2 linked regions of the Mytilus edulis genome follow. The protein of the gene in region 2 binds, or shares a complex with, the protein of the main gene of each other region. Links are inferred from orthologs where the notes say so. Each region holds a gene or a part of one and is shown on either strand. Other genes may lie near its edges.

Region 1 (7,068 bases), on a different chromosome or scaffold from region 2:
GAGAAAAACCGGTCAGTGGTGGTCGTTGGTTGCTGTCTGTCATATTTTCCCCGTTAATACATTGCCAAAGTTTCAGGTAAGTTTATTGATGGATTAAGTCGGAGTGCCCGAAAAAAAAACCCACCGACTTTCGATAGGAAACGGGCTTTTGACAAGAAAATTTCGTAATAATATCAGTTATACCGATTTTTTTCTGAACGCCTTCATATATTGAGCTGATTATCTTTGTGTGAGTCTGTTATGATGATTTACAGATCGAGATTACGTTTGGTGAAAATGGTGTCTTGAAATTTTCATTGATAAAGATATTTCTTCAAAGGGGACAGAGTTTGACCCGTGTTAACACGATTAATACCCATAAACCAAATTGAAAAAACCAGCCGAATTCTTCTTCTTCCACTTTGTTGTTCACTTGGTTTGCCAAAGAGAATCCACTCTAACATAGGCACTAGCTTAGATTTCACCATCATCACAGAATTATGTCACATCACTGGAATGGAAGTCAAGAACCACGGCATGTCATCCTATGGGGAATAGCATGACAAAACGCTTCAACCGAACACTGATCAGTAAGCTTGGTACCATTGAAACAACAAACAGTGGAAGTCGCGTGTCATTGGACTCGCCAATACATATAATTGTACTCGATAGACAACAACTTGGTTTTAACCGTACTTTTTGATTTTTGGTAGACCACCAAGATTACCAGTGGACATTTGCCTGGGTTAAGATATGAATGGCAAGAAAGAATCAGCAACGACGTATGTCGATGCCGTGTAAAAGCGACTATAGAAGGAATATGATTTAGCATCAAGATATGCATGAACAGCTTAAGATAGACAGAAGTCATTTATTAACAAAAAAGTTAGAGGTGCCATTCTACAACCATGCGACAGAGTGCTTGTCAGATAAGTAGTCACGACGGGAAACAAGATTACATACACGTGGTAAGAGGGCTCGTACCGTGTTGTTACACAGCCTAACAACGACACCCCAGTGTATTTGATTCAGAATGAAAATGGAGAGGGAAAGAAGAAAACGCTACACAGGAACTTTTACTACCTTTTTTAAAAGCTGCCGATTGATACTAGTAATAAACCGAATAGCTATATCATACAGCTGCAACAAGTTGTTTATAGGAACAGCATACAAGGAAAACAACTGACAACGTCTGAAGGCATCAAACAGACTGATGAGACAGAGTCAGATTAGGAGTCCAAAATGGAGTAGTAAATGATAGTGCCTGAGATGACTCCACAGGGTAACCGTGACAATGATGCTCCAATCAAATGTCGAAAAGAACCAAGCAACTGAGGCTCTCAACTCTACTGGTAACTCTCGTGCTATCGTTGTGGGAAGACAGGACTCTGGTTTTGGAGAGGATAGTCTAGTGTTGAGTTGAGATGTTTTGAATATTAGGAGGAAAGGAGCAGAACGTATGTTTGTTTATGTTGGGGGAGTGGTATCCATGAAAGAAAACAGTTGTGGAAAACATTTGCATAAAAGAATTTAATGTTACTTAAAGTTATATTTAATTTTAATTAAATAATGTAATAGCAATGAGGTGTCCTATATATATGACCGTTCAGTCGTCACAATCATGTCTAATTTTTGGCAACAGTAGTGTACCAATGTTCAATTCTCATAATCAATTTTAAGATGATTGATACACCAGAGTAACAAAATAAGTGAGGATATCTCATGAACCCCAAAAGGAGTGAGACTAGGGGTGCATCGACATGGTACATTAGTTTCTATATAATTTTCCTGTCATGATCATTCTAATGCCACAAATAAAAAATTAAGTAAGTAACAGAAAAAATCCTTATAACAAAAAAACTAAAAACAACATTAATTATTAATGCTGTTTGATAGAAATGAAACTGAATGCAGTCGTGAATGAAAATAGACCCCCAAAAAAACATATCCTTCAAAAAAGGAATAAAAGCGTTGTTTACTCATATGTTATAAAGAATAAAATTAAAAATATATTATTCATGGCCTATACAGTAATACCATAAAATCGTCTTATAGGGCTTGAAGAGCCTAATAATAATCGAGAAAACCTTCCAGAAGTTCAAATGCACTGGGGAAAAAAAACAATTTTATAACTATATTGATAGTATCAAGATGAATAAAAAGCAACAAACATCACTGGAAGACGTGTAAATCATGTAGGGTTTCCAAAGCTGTATCCTCAAATATATTTGCGGGAAACTCAATTTCAACGTTATGAAAAAAATGACCGTCGCCATCTTCCGCATAATTCCAGAACTTTGCTTTGCAAATATGTGCAACCGTTATAAGTTCAACAAGTAAAATACTTTGCATATGTTTCAGTTTTTGAAAACGAGAAAACATGCATTTATTGTATAACTTTTTTTTTTAACTTCTCTTTAGGATCGAACCAAATTACCCAGAACAGGTACACATCTGGTTTGTAACTAAATAAGGTTGTTATGTCAGCAATAGTTTACTTGGAAAATATGTTTATTGACTGTATGAATTACATGTATTTAATTCCACAAATAAATAAACTTATCCGTAATATTTGATAACTTGTGATCGAGTTACTAGGAAGTGAAACTTATACAAAATCAATTTGTAAACAGAAGCTGGCTGGTGGAGATTTATTTCCCCGAGGGTATCACAAGCCCAGTAGTCAGCACTTTTTGTGCTGGCATGAATTATCATTGATATTGTTATATTTATAAATTAACTGTTTACAAAATTGTGAATTTTTTTAAATAATAAGGCTTTTCTACCTCAGGCATAGATTACCTTAGCTGTATTTGGTAACACTTTTAGGAATTTTGGATCTCAATGCTCTTCAACTTTGTACTTTATTTGGCTTTTTTTTTAATTTTTGGATTCGAGCGTCACTGATGAGTCTTTTGTAGACGAAACGCGCGTCTGGCGTATATACAAAATTTAGTCCTGGTATCTATGATGAGTTTATTGACCTAAACAGCCATTATAATATTTTTGAAAAACCTGATACAGTAACTCATCAACAGAAGTTCACCAAAGTCAGCATAGAGACAGCTGTTTTGTATTTGATGCTTTTCATACGTTAAACTTCTTGAATATTTTGAAATTCACATCCATATCTTTTCTGTACACTGTCTATTCTATTTGTCTGTAAAAAGTTCTCGTTTCGTCATCAAATCATTGATTTTCTGTGCCTCTCCCTTTGAATGTGTATACCAGTGGCGGATCCAGAACTTTTCATAAGGGGGGCCCGCTGACTGACCTAAAAGGGGGGGCCGCTCCAGTCATGCTTCAGTGATTCCCTATATAATCAACCAAATTTTTCCCACGAAAGGGGGGCCGGCCCCCAGAACCTCCCCCCCCCTCCCCTGATCCGACTACGTATACTACCCGGCTGCTTGTCCGCAGTCTGTGTGTTGTTGAAATATTTTGGTTATATATTCTTGACCATGAAGATTGGCCAATACAACTTGAAACTTTGTTATTCTCTTACATCAGTATGATCAGATGGTCTTTTGGGTCAAATTATAAAATATCTAAAAAAAAAAACATGTTGATGTTGATGCGAACTGTAAGGCATAGTCAAAAGTTAACAGTCAAGTCTTCATAAAAAAAAACATTTTGACTTACAAAGTCAGAAATTTCAAAACTGGCCTTTTATCAAATACGAGATATTTCTATAGATTAGTATGGCGTGGACACTATTGCGATCAAAAGACAGTGTTCCAGTCATAGAATAAATGTGCATGCGGTGTCCAGCATTGTGCACAACCCAATACTGTCAAGGCTAAACACAGCTTTATATTTTTATTGTACAGATTGCCAATTTAAACAAAATGTGCATATTTGATTCCTGTTTTTGTTGTTTCTTGTCGGTTGTTAGTGATACTTGATTTAATCAAAGCGTTTTATGAGATGGGACGAGATTGTAGGACGAAAAAAGGCGATTCCATCAATCTTGAAATCAGTAACGCGTTTTAAGGAATTAGTTTTCAATAGGGAAACTGAAGCTATATTTTAATGAAGACGAACTATTTTCGTTTTAGCATCGACAAATTAATTTCATTTTAACGATATGGAAACACTTCTTGAGCAACAACGACGATACCATGAAGAAAGAGAACGACTTCAAGATGCAATGACCAAGGAAATGCTTCAACCTAGCAAAAATGTATGTTGGACTTATCACGTAAATTGTAATCATTTCATGTCAATGTTCAATGATGTTCCAACTTCAAGTCACCCAAATTCACCAATTTGACCCAAGAAAAACAATGTATTATTTTCAGCGAACACGAATCAGAACAATACCGTTAGTTGAATCAAATAATATATATTATCAAAAGTTAATGTTATGATAATGATTAAACTCCTTCAAAATTAAACATAAATGTATGCATATGCAAATTTAATCCTATACACCTTATCGCTATTTGTCCGCCATTGCTGGAAATCACACAGGTTCCCGTAAAATTTTGACGTCATAAAACAAAATGTCTGACGCCACAATGGAAAAGTGATTGTTGTTGACGTCAAAAGTTCAAGCGGACAGGTCAGCCGGGAATAGCGATAAGGTGTATTGCTGCTCGAGGGACACATGTGTCCACACCGAATGTACCAGACCAAGGATTTTTATAGTGTCTCACTATACAAATCCTTGACCAGACACATATAGCCATGTTTCAATTTATGAAATCTTCTCTTCATTGCTGTGTCTTTTTCACATCTACATTCTACGTTGATCTGTCAAACAATAGTTTACTTGGAAATTGTTGTCGAATGACGTCATTACTTGACATCTGAAGTCACAGATGTCGAGCTGTCATATTTTCTGGCACACAAAATGCAACCTTGAAAAACAACTGGCAGCAGAGGGTGATTTTTTTCCATTATTTGTCAATACATTTATGTTAATTGTTATACAATATAGCTTCCAGTCATGCCAGTCATTTTTATAAATTTAAAATAATGTTATTTCAGGGTAGAGAACAGATCAATTCAGACCAGCGACTTCGGCATCTACTAGATGTAAGTAATCATGTAATAAATGATAATGAATGGCAAAAAAAAATGCATCTCAGAAATTTTACAAGAAGATCAAGTTTTTATTCTGTAAAAATGATAATTAAAACATTTATTGAAACAGTTAATATAGCGAAAGCTTGTGTGCTTTTCTTATCAAATGCATAAGTTGTCATTTGTAGTGGGAATTTGCATGATGTTGTTTTACCATATGCATAGATGCCAACCATTACGATTTTTCCGTAGTTTTTCCGATTTTGCGATAAAAACTACGCTATTACGGTCAAAGTCGAATAGTTACGGATTCCCAATCATCGACGTTCAATTTTGTAAAACGCGGATTTTTATCATTACTTTTCCGTCCTGGTCCAGTATTTAGGAAACGCCAATGTAATGCTTCCGGTTTCTCGGGAGTTATCAACCTATTGTTGGGTAACTAACTGACTTCCGAAGAGGCAAACTTGCATTTTATTAAGTAGCTTTCCCCCTTTCTCTACTTCTCCTTGACAAAACAAAAATGTTTGAGTCGAGAACATCTGAACAATTAATGAATGGAATACATACTTCAGACAACATGTTAAATGACAAATTTTAGTGTGCATCACTTTGTAACCACTCGTCAGTAATTTTTATTGGTAAATGCACGTTTATGAATGATTACTGAAAACTTTTCAAAAATACGGAAAATTTGATAGTTTGTTACTGATTGTGTCAAAAGGGGGTTGGCATCTATGCCATATGGAGCTAAAATCCCACAGTTATACATTTGTATATTATACACATGTCTAGAAAAGAGTAGGCAAAACAGGCTTGTGAGGCAATTGTTTTAGATAGTTATCCCTGAGTTATGGTAAAAAAAAATGAAGAATTTGGGATGATATAATCATATTTATATTGAGTCTAAACTACATCATAAAAACTTTCATAGTCATATTTCTCTTTTGGTGTTAAATTTTAGAAAAAAACATTTTTCTGTTTTTAAATAGTTTGTATATTTGTCTTGTGCTTTAAATGAATAGTTGTAAAGTATTGTCTTATGAACATGTACAAGAAATATATATATTGCAGCTTATTTTATTTGATGAATATCATTACATTACAGAGATATGTAGAATGTACAACAGAATTAGGGGATTTGTATGAGGATAAAGATGGGTAAATATTCATAATTATAGATATATATATACATGGAGAGAGTGATAGAATTTTCTGAACATGAGATGCATGAAGTACACATTTTAAAGTTTAGTTAAATGCTTGCTAGTCGTGTTAACTGTAGACTTAAAGATTATTAATTAGTAGAATCTTATTTATGAATACACAATTGTTATGTTTAGTGACCTTCATAAAGTTTGCATGTTGTAAACTGACGGTGAAATTTTCTTTACTGTGTCTGTTGGAACATCAATTTGAAGAAATGAAAACAATACCCTGATTGGATTGATATAAAAGCAACATTTCTTCTAATAAGAATTAAGAGATGTAATGTGGTATGATTGCCAATGAGACAACTATTAACCATAGTTCAAAAAGTGGATATAAGCAATCTTGTTCTCTTATTTCATTATTTTCGCATAATAAAAAAGACACCTTTGCCTGATACTTCACATATAAAACATTTGTTCACAACAGCAGAACCATCAAAGTCTGTCTCAGTTTTGGCATGTACTGGTTGAGTTGTACACCAAGATAGTGTAGTAACTGTAGTTATTGTTCACATAGGTTCTTGAGGTCCAGTTAATATTTATTTGTTCTCTTTCCAGAATGAGAAAAGAAGAAGTACAGTCCTTATCAGGACCGAATGAGTTTTCTGAGTTCTACACTAGACTTAAGCAGCTAAGAGAATTCCACAAAAGGCATCCAAATGAGGTATGAACATTCTACATATATAAAAAAAAAAAAAAGATTTAAAAAAACAGTATCTGACATACTTGCAAATTCTATATTATTTAGACTCTCTCAATAAGTCATTTCTGGAATCATGTCTTTAACCAGAAAAGACCATCAATTTGCACATCTTCATGATGTCATTTACCAGATAGAAGGTGTGCCTGT
Region 2 (7,762 bases):
ATATGAGAAGAACATAACCCGTGTCATGCCAACAACTGTTTTTTTAGAAATAAATGTGTTTAGTTCCGATGCAAAGACCCTATCAGTGAATCAATGTTAAAGCCAAAATATGCAATCTTTAATGACCTGACAACAGTATCGTAACTATATCCCCTTTTAATAAGTCTATTTAAAGGTTTTGTTAGTTTCTGAGGAGAATACTGACATTTTTGTGCTTTATAAAGAATATTTCCATAAAATTTTGGATGTGAAATACCTGAACGTATAAGATGTCTGCATGTTGAGTTATATTTACGAATTATTTCCTTATACCGGTGATAAAATTTAGTAAATGTTTTGACCAGTTTGTGATATCGAAAACCCTGGTGTAATAATTTTTCAGTAATACATAAATTTCTCTCGCTAAAATCTAATACATTGTTACATACACGAGCGAATCGTACAAGTTGAGATATATAAACACCATAAGATGGTGACAAGGGAACGTCACCATCTAAAAATGGATAATTAACAATAGGAAATGAAAAATCATCTCTTTTATCATAAACTTTTGTATTAAGCTTCCCGTTTATGATATAGATATCAAGATCGAGGAAAGGGCAGTGGTCATTGTTAGCATTAGCTTTGTTTAAAGTAAGTTCTACAGGATAAATTTCTTTAGTATACATACTGAAGTCGTCATTATTTAGAGCCAATATATCATCCAAATATCTAAAAGTATTGTTAAATTTTTCTATCAAATGTTGTTTTGATGGGTACCATGTATACCTTCAGTTTACAGCATGGTTAACAAATGGTTAATATCAAAGATTCAAAAACAAATTATAACATAATATAATCTTGACTTATTTCACACTCAAAAGGTCAAAATACATTTGTTGCTAAAAAAAATCTTAAAGACTGACAAACACCATGAACACACTGAAATATGGTGGGACATCAACATCGTACTTATGAGAAATAGTGCACCATATGAGGAATATTCAGTACAAGAGAGACATGTCATCATGGTCATGTTAATCAGTCAGGGGACTAACTGAAATAAGTGATTTTTAAATCACTTTGGTGATTTTTAAATCACTTTGTGTAGCAAATTCGAAGTTTTGTCACAAATTGTGATTTTGTAGTTTTACCAAAATTTTAAACACATAGGTTTAAATAATATCTTTTTATTAGTAAAATTGAAAAAAATGAATTTTTTGCTTGTTTTAAGTATCAAGGTTTATGCCTTTGATGCTATCATTTAGCTGCAATTCTATTTCAGTTGAAAAAAATGCTATAATAATGGCTTTACATAAGGCCACAATTAAAAATATTTCAGTTTGCCCAAACCCGACCCATGATGACTGGGTGTGGGTAGGTAGGTAGGCAAATTCTTTTTTTTTTTTTTTTTTTATCAGAATTTGCATGAAAATATTAAAAGATCTTAAAACAGTATATCTTTTTTTTTTCGTCAAACCTTTGTAGAGAAAACCAAAAGCCATGAATTTAAAACCTCTATAAATAAATTAGTCTACTATATGATTTGTATCCTGAGATGTTTATAACACTGACAATTGCTAGCTGTGTGAAAGGGCTGGTGGATTTATGAAGTGATTTTCAACAGTTCCATCAACACGATGTTTTTGTAAAAAAAATATCAGCTGATTATGTAATGATTAAATTTGTTTGCAGTTTTTAAATCCTATTTCTATTAAAATATTTATATGAATTATTATCTACCATCCTTAGTTTGTGTCTTGTTTATGTTTTGAAAACAAATTTGTATTTACATTATCACACAGGTAAACTAATTTGGCTATACCGGTAAATAGATCAAAGCATGTTCTGTAGAATCTCCAAACTAAAAACGTATTTGTTATAATTTTATTTCTTTAAATAATCAAGTTTAAATTTTTGAAAATAATCATTATTGATAAAATATAATTGCATAAAGTTAACGTTTTCTGAAGACTATTTATTTTTAGGTCATGGTTCTAGAGGCTTCCTCACAAATTTGTAGAAAAATCCAATATGGCGTCCATAACATGTTTTTACTTTTGCACATGTGAAAAAAATATTTCTGTCAAAAGTCAGATTTCTCTTGTCAAAAGGGATTTATATTGCAATAAATTATTCAGAGGGAGTTACATTCAGTTAAGATTATATTTCTGATTCTGTGAACAATTATAGTTTTATCAAATTCTCCCAAACAGCAACGTACTGATCTTGTCTAATGAGACTTGTAAATTTGAACTATTTGAATAAAAGGGCATCTAATTTACATGATAAAGAAAGATTATAATTAAAGACAACAATTTATCAAGAAATAATTCTTTTTTATTCAGTAAAAACAAAATCTTCTTGCAAGATTGTAAATTCGCAACTTTTCCGGATCCATTTCCTGTCAGAATAACATTGAAAATATTCGATTGCACATGGTTTTGAACAAATCTACCTGAATATTCTTATCAGATATTCGATAACACGATGAAATTAACATTGAGCATATAGGTAAGGGTTTGGTAGTACAGACAACTACAGCGTAAAAAAAACTGCCACTTCACATGTTTTACTTCTTTACGTTCGTTAAATCAGAAGATAAAAACAGAGAACATCGAATATCGATTAACTGCGTCTTTTATACGCTTTCTTTTAATCTTATTCAGTTACTTTCAAACGCAAAGACGACTAACATTAAGTTTTGTACGATGACGGAGCGGACCCAAAAAAAATTCTTCAAAAAAAAATTCTTCAAAAAAACGTCCAAAAAAAATTTTGAGTCGGCGGGTTTATTTTGGGTTGGTCGCGTTTGGGCAAACATACAATCTTTTTATTTTGGCCTAATGAACTGATACTTTCTTAACAGATTTTCCCCAGCAGTGGGAGTATTTTTCCTGTAAAGTTCAAGGTTTCATCTTTCAGATTATGTAATAAAATTCTACTGTTCACGATAAAAATTTCACTGTTCGGGGGTGTTGAAATTAGTAGGTGTTAATCCTTTATTAAAATAATGCTACTTAAAGAAGTGATTTTTGGGAAGGAAATTGAGGTATGATACTTAAACAAGTGATTTTTATGTCATTATCCTAGATTCAGTACAAGGTCATCACCTGAAATGACCTGGTCATCCTCCGTGGCGGATCCAGGGGGGGGGGGGGGGTTCCGGGGGTGCGCACCCCCCCTTTATTTTTGCCAATCAATGCATTTGTATCGGGACATATGTTTTGCACCCCCCCTGCACCCCCCCCTTTGCCCTGGGTTAGCACCCCCCCTTTTGAAAATTCCTGCATCCGCCCCTGATCCTAGACAACACAGATGTTGGTTCTGATAAGTTAAGAAACATAATTAGTCCCTGGATCATTAGTATTCTATATCTAAAGCTACAGTAAAATTAAATCACTTCTTCTAGTGTTTATTTTGTACTACTTAAATAGGTGATTATTAAAGAAAGACAACTCTTACTTTCAACCTTTATGGAAAGAATGTTACTTGAATCAGTGATTTAGAAAATCCCTCATTTAAGTAAGTCCCCTGACTGTTAATAGACAACTTTCGAGTTCGATGCATTTTCGACAAAAAGTCCGGTTTTAATAAGTCATTTGAGTGTTTAGGGGCGTCATCACTTCCATTCCAATGTTGAGCGAGTGGTTGGAAAACTATAATTCTCATATTGTACAAATTATTCGGAAAATTGAATTCTCAAAATTGACAATCAGCACTGCTGTCATTAGGGAATTTTCATTTTAATACCTCAAAACAACCATTATCTATTAACTTATCAGAAAATTATATACTATCATGCATGTTTTTCAATCCATCTTGTATGGGAAAGGATTTGTATAGGCACTGCCTTTTGTCCAATCCCTTTGTTTAAATGTACATTTGATATTTGAACAATAAAATATTTTGAATTGAATTGAATACAGGTCATACCCTCTATCTGGTAAATGACGTCATAAAGGTGTGTATAATTGACAAGTTTTTTCCGGTGAGGGATGAACTCGAAAGTAATATTATTGACCTTAGGATCAGGAACATCAACCAAGAGATTGAAAAGCTATAAAAACAAACTGTAAATATTGTAGAATAAGGGATATCATGATCTCAGTGTTGCCTCCAGATTTTTTAACACCCATAGTAGGAAATATCCTTTTTGTCAATAGTCGAGGGGCTAAGTGATGCAAAATTGCAGCAAAAAAATGGGGGGGGGGGGGGGGGGGGGGTGTCATGCAACATTTTTTTTAAAGAAAATTTAAAGGTATGTCCCGCATTTTGACCTGATCTATTTGAGTTGTCATTTGCAGATACAGAAAATATTGATTTTATAAAATGTACAGCTACACCATAATAATTCATCTATTGGAGATCCAACCTGCCTTCTTTTGTGATCTCTGACTGACTCGGTCTGCCTTGTTGGCAACACCTCCTTTTTTAAATGTTAAAAAAAATTATGATTTAGTTCGAGGAACCTACAAAGAAAAATGATTAAAATAATGATTAAGAAGATGGTCACCTGATAAATTAATTTGTGGAGAAAGTTTCAAAACAAAACCATGTGCTGCCTGCGAGAAACAGTTTCCGGTAAAATGTCGTAACATGTGTACGATTTTATATTTCATCTAATATTTTACAATCATGGCTCAAAAACTTTCAAAATTATGATAAATAAAAATTTAAGGGCAAATATTTCGATACATAATACAAAAAATAAATAATTACGACAATTAGGCTTTTGGTAGTCAGTTGAACGCTTAACACACCGACTGTTTCGTGAAAAATAACAAGCACTCACATGACAGCATTGAAGGAAAAACGTTTGGCTGGTTGTCTTCATCGTCTCACACTTGAAAGAAAGGCTTGAAAGGAGAGAAAAATAAAAATGCCCCGAGACGGGAGGTATAAGACCACCAATTATCTCACTATAATGTTTTAAGTAAAATGACTATCTTACAAAACGTACCAAGCTAAACAGGTTGGGAACAAACGGTATCGGGATCGTTCGCCCTAGGTTCGTTCGCACTGAGTTTGTTCGCCCTGGTAATCCGTTCGCCCTGGGTTCGTTCGCCCTATTTTCATTTATGATATGTACAATGGATACGTTACATTAATGAAAGAAATATATATTTATATATATTAAAATTTATGTATACAGAATATTAATGAAATAAAATTCTTGGCTGCATTGTTACACTTTATTTTATATTTAATAAATTACTTTTAATTACTGTTGATTGAATTTTGATTGCTGATAATTTGAAATCTTTGATATCACTGATTGTTATATGAATTGTCTTTGATGGATTAATATGAGGCAGGCATTACCTGTAAATGGGGACGAAGTCAGTATGAATTATTTTTTTGTAACTTAAATATTTGTTAAAAAAAAGAAACGGAAATACGTAACGTTTCTGATTTTGGTTCTGTTGTTAGGAATTTAGTTGTGACTTTATTTAAATTATGACGTCATGTGCAATGTAAACAAAGAAACGCTATCATCAGGTAACGTTTTTTCATATCAAGGAATTATTAAAAATGAAATTGGTATTGCACGTTCCTTCCTATTTTATACTAGACTGATAAATATATATTTTACTCAAAGTTTCATACTAACGAGACCGGAAAAAGGAAGTACATTATACATTTCTGCGCAGGTCCGGGATTTCAAAACACGACAAAAAAAATTTGAACGATTTTGAGTTCATTAGAACAATGAAAAATTCGGGAAATTTTCCCGATTTTTTTTTTTATTGAATTTTCTACTGTTATTGGGGACTTCGTCCCCATAATAATGAAAATAACATTTTTCTCAAATAAAATTTTTACAAAGTTATTGCCAAACTGTACAAGCCGTCCGACAACCCACTAGACAACGTTCAGCTGCTGCAGTAAAGAATTTTAGATCAATTAACACTTTGAACTTTGAACACTTTCTTATGTATAACTTAAGTGCTCCTAATGTATCATTTTTATTGATCAAATCATGTGTGGAAATGTAAAGTAAAACTTAAAGGATGTGTGATAGTGATTTCCTAGTAGCGTAATTACATGCAGATACTAACTTAGTTCTCAATAGTTCGTAAATATTCGGCGAAATTGTAGACTGACTTCAACATATTCAATTAAATACACACAACACAACACTATAATAAAAAATAAAAATCAGGGCGAACGGTCTCAGGGCGAAACGGAACTAGGGCGAACAGTAACTAGGGCGAACCGAAATCAGGGCGGACGGACCCGGATTCGGAACAAACCCCCTGTATTATTGTATGGTGATTATGGTAAACGGACAGAAAGTCACAGGACATAAAGTCACAAATTTGGTAGGACAAAAAGTCACAGGACAAAAATTCACAAATAATTTGTTGGCAATTGTTTGAATATATAACTAAGAGAAATATCTAGAAATATTTACTTTTTAATACATATATTCATATTAACATGATTAAAGTTTCGGAAATGTGTCAAAATCCGATGGGAATAACAGATATAACATCAAAACCAAATACATGAATTTGGGATAGAAAAGTACCGTGACACGTCTTATAGTAATGTGAATTCACACTCAAATATAGGAGAAAACAAAAGACACAACGGAAACACAACGTAAAAATGTTACACACACAGAAACGAACTATGATATAACAATGGCCACAGGACATTTTTAAAGAAAAAAATGGTGGGTTGAACCTGGTTTTGTGGCATGCCAAACCTCGCATTTGATGGCATTGTTAAATATAACATTAAAATGACAACATAATAATACAGGACTACAATACAAATAAATAGGAGAACGTATTAGGCAAAGAAACACATGAATAATAGATAACAAAAGGCATCAGGTTTAAAATTCATTACGTCAAAAACGCGCCTCGTCCAAACAAGAATTACCAGTGACGCCCAGATATAAAAGTTGGAAAGTCAAAAAAAGGGGGTGGGGTACAAAGTTGTACAGCTCTGAGGATCAAAAGTTGAAAAAGGTTGTGCCAAATACGGCTAGGGCTTTCTGCTTGTGATAAGAACATCCTTATTATATAGAAGAATTTATGCTATTGCAAACAGTGAATTTTATCAAATGAATATAAAAGATTTACATGATAAAACTGACGTCTTAACTAATTACAAAAAACAAAACCCGAATACATAATACATTGAAGACCAACACAGAAAATAGACACGCCCGACTCAGTGACAAACCAGGCCTGAACTCAAAAAGTAAACAATGACGTCACATACGAACGAAATGGTGAAAAGGCACAATATTACGTCATGCAGACATTTGAATTTCTGAAACAGCAGAAATATGACGTCATATATAATGGACCATAATTTGCTATTGGGCTCGTTTCCTATAACGATAGAAAAGTGATAAAAATGTGTATTACTGTAAGAAAAGTTGTAACTACATCTAAAGATGCCTTTATTTTTATCAACATACAAGTGTATGCTACTCTTCCCTAGAAAAAAAATTGAAATTAACAAATTTCAAAGATTATATGACAGTATTTTTGTGTCGTTTCTCGCGTTACTTTTCGCTTCCGAAGTGCATAACGCTGACTGATTTATAGATAATCGTCACCGGCAAATTCGTAACTTTTGCTTTCAAATAATAAAGAACATCGACCAATAAGAATAGTCAGAAGAAAATGCCGAGAACTATAAGTATTTCTGTAGCAGGTGTAAGAACACTAGCATTACTTTGGTTTCCAATTTCGTAACGCAAATTTTAGATGATGTAATCTGCTTTGTTGTAATAGAATTCTTAATAACAATATGCAAA

What was found. The genes of interacting proteins can lie anywhere in the genome.
Region 1: probable ATP-dependent RNA helicase DDX46 (region 2) and splicing factor 3A subunit 3-like share a complex: the UniProt entries of both Homo sapiens proteins name them as parts of the 17S U2 SnRNP complex. The link is inferred for Mytilus edulis from reciprocal best matches to the Homo sapiens genes DDX46 and SF3A3.

What each region holds. Positions count from the first base shown.
Region 1 is NC_092353.1:19,795,247-19,802,314, forward strand, and holds the start of splicing factor 3A subunit 3-like, read left to right. Parts: upstream 1-3,978; 5' UTR 3,979-4,066; coding exon 4,067-4,162; intron 4,163-4,971; coding exon 4,972-5,019; intron 5,020-6,115; coding exon 6,116-6,168; intron 6,169-6,776; coding exon 6,777-6,882; intron 6,883-7,068. UniProt on the Homo sapiens protein: Component of the 17S U2 SnRNP complex of the spliceosome, a large ribonucleoprotein complex that removes introns from transcribed pre-mRNAs.
Region 2 is NC_092352.1:81,864,583-81,872,344, forward strand, and holds the start of probable ATP-dependent RNA helicase DDX46, read left to right. Parts: upstream 1-4,747; 5' UTR 4,748-4,861; coding exon 4,862-4,878; intron 4,879-7,762. UniProt on the Homo sapiens protein: Component of the 17S U2 SnRNP complex of the spliceosome, a large ribonucleoprotein complex that removes introns from transcribed pre-mRNAs.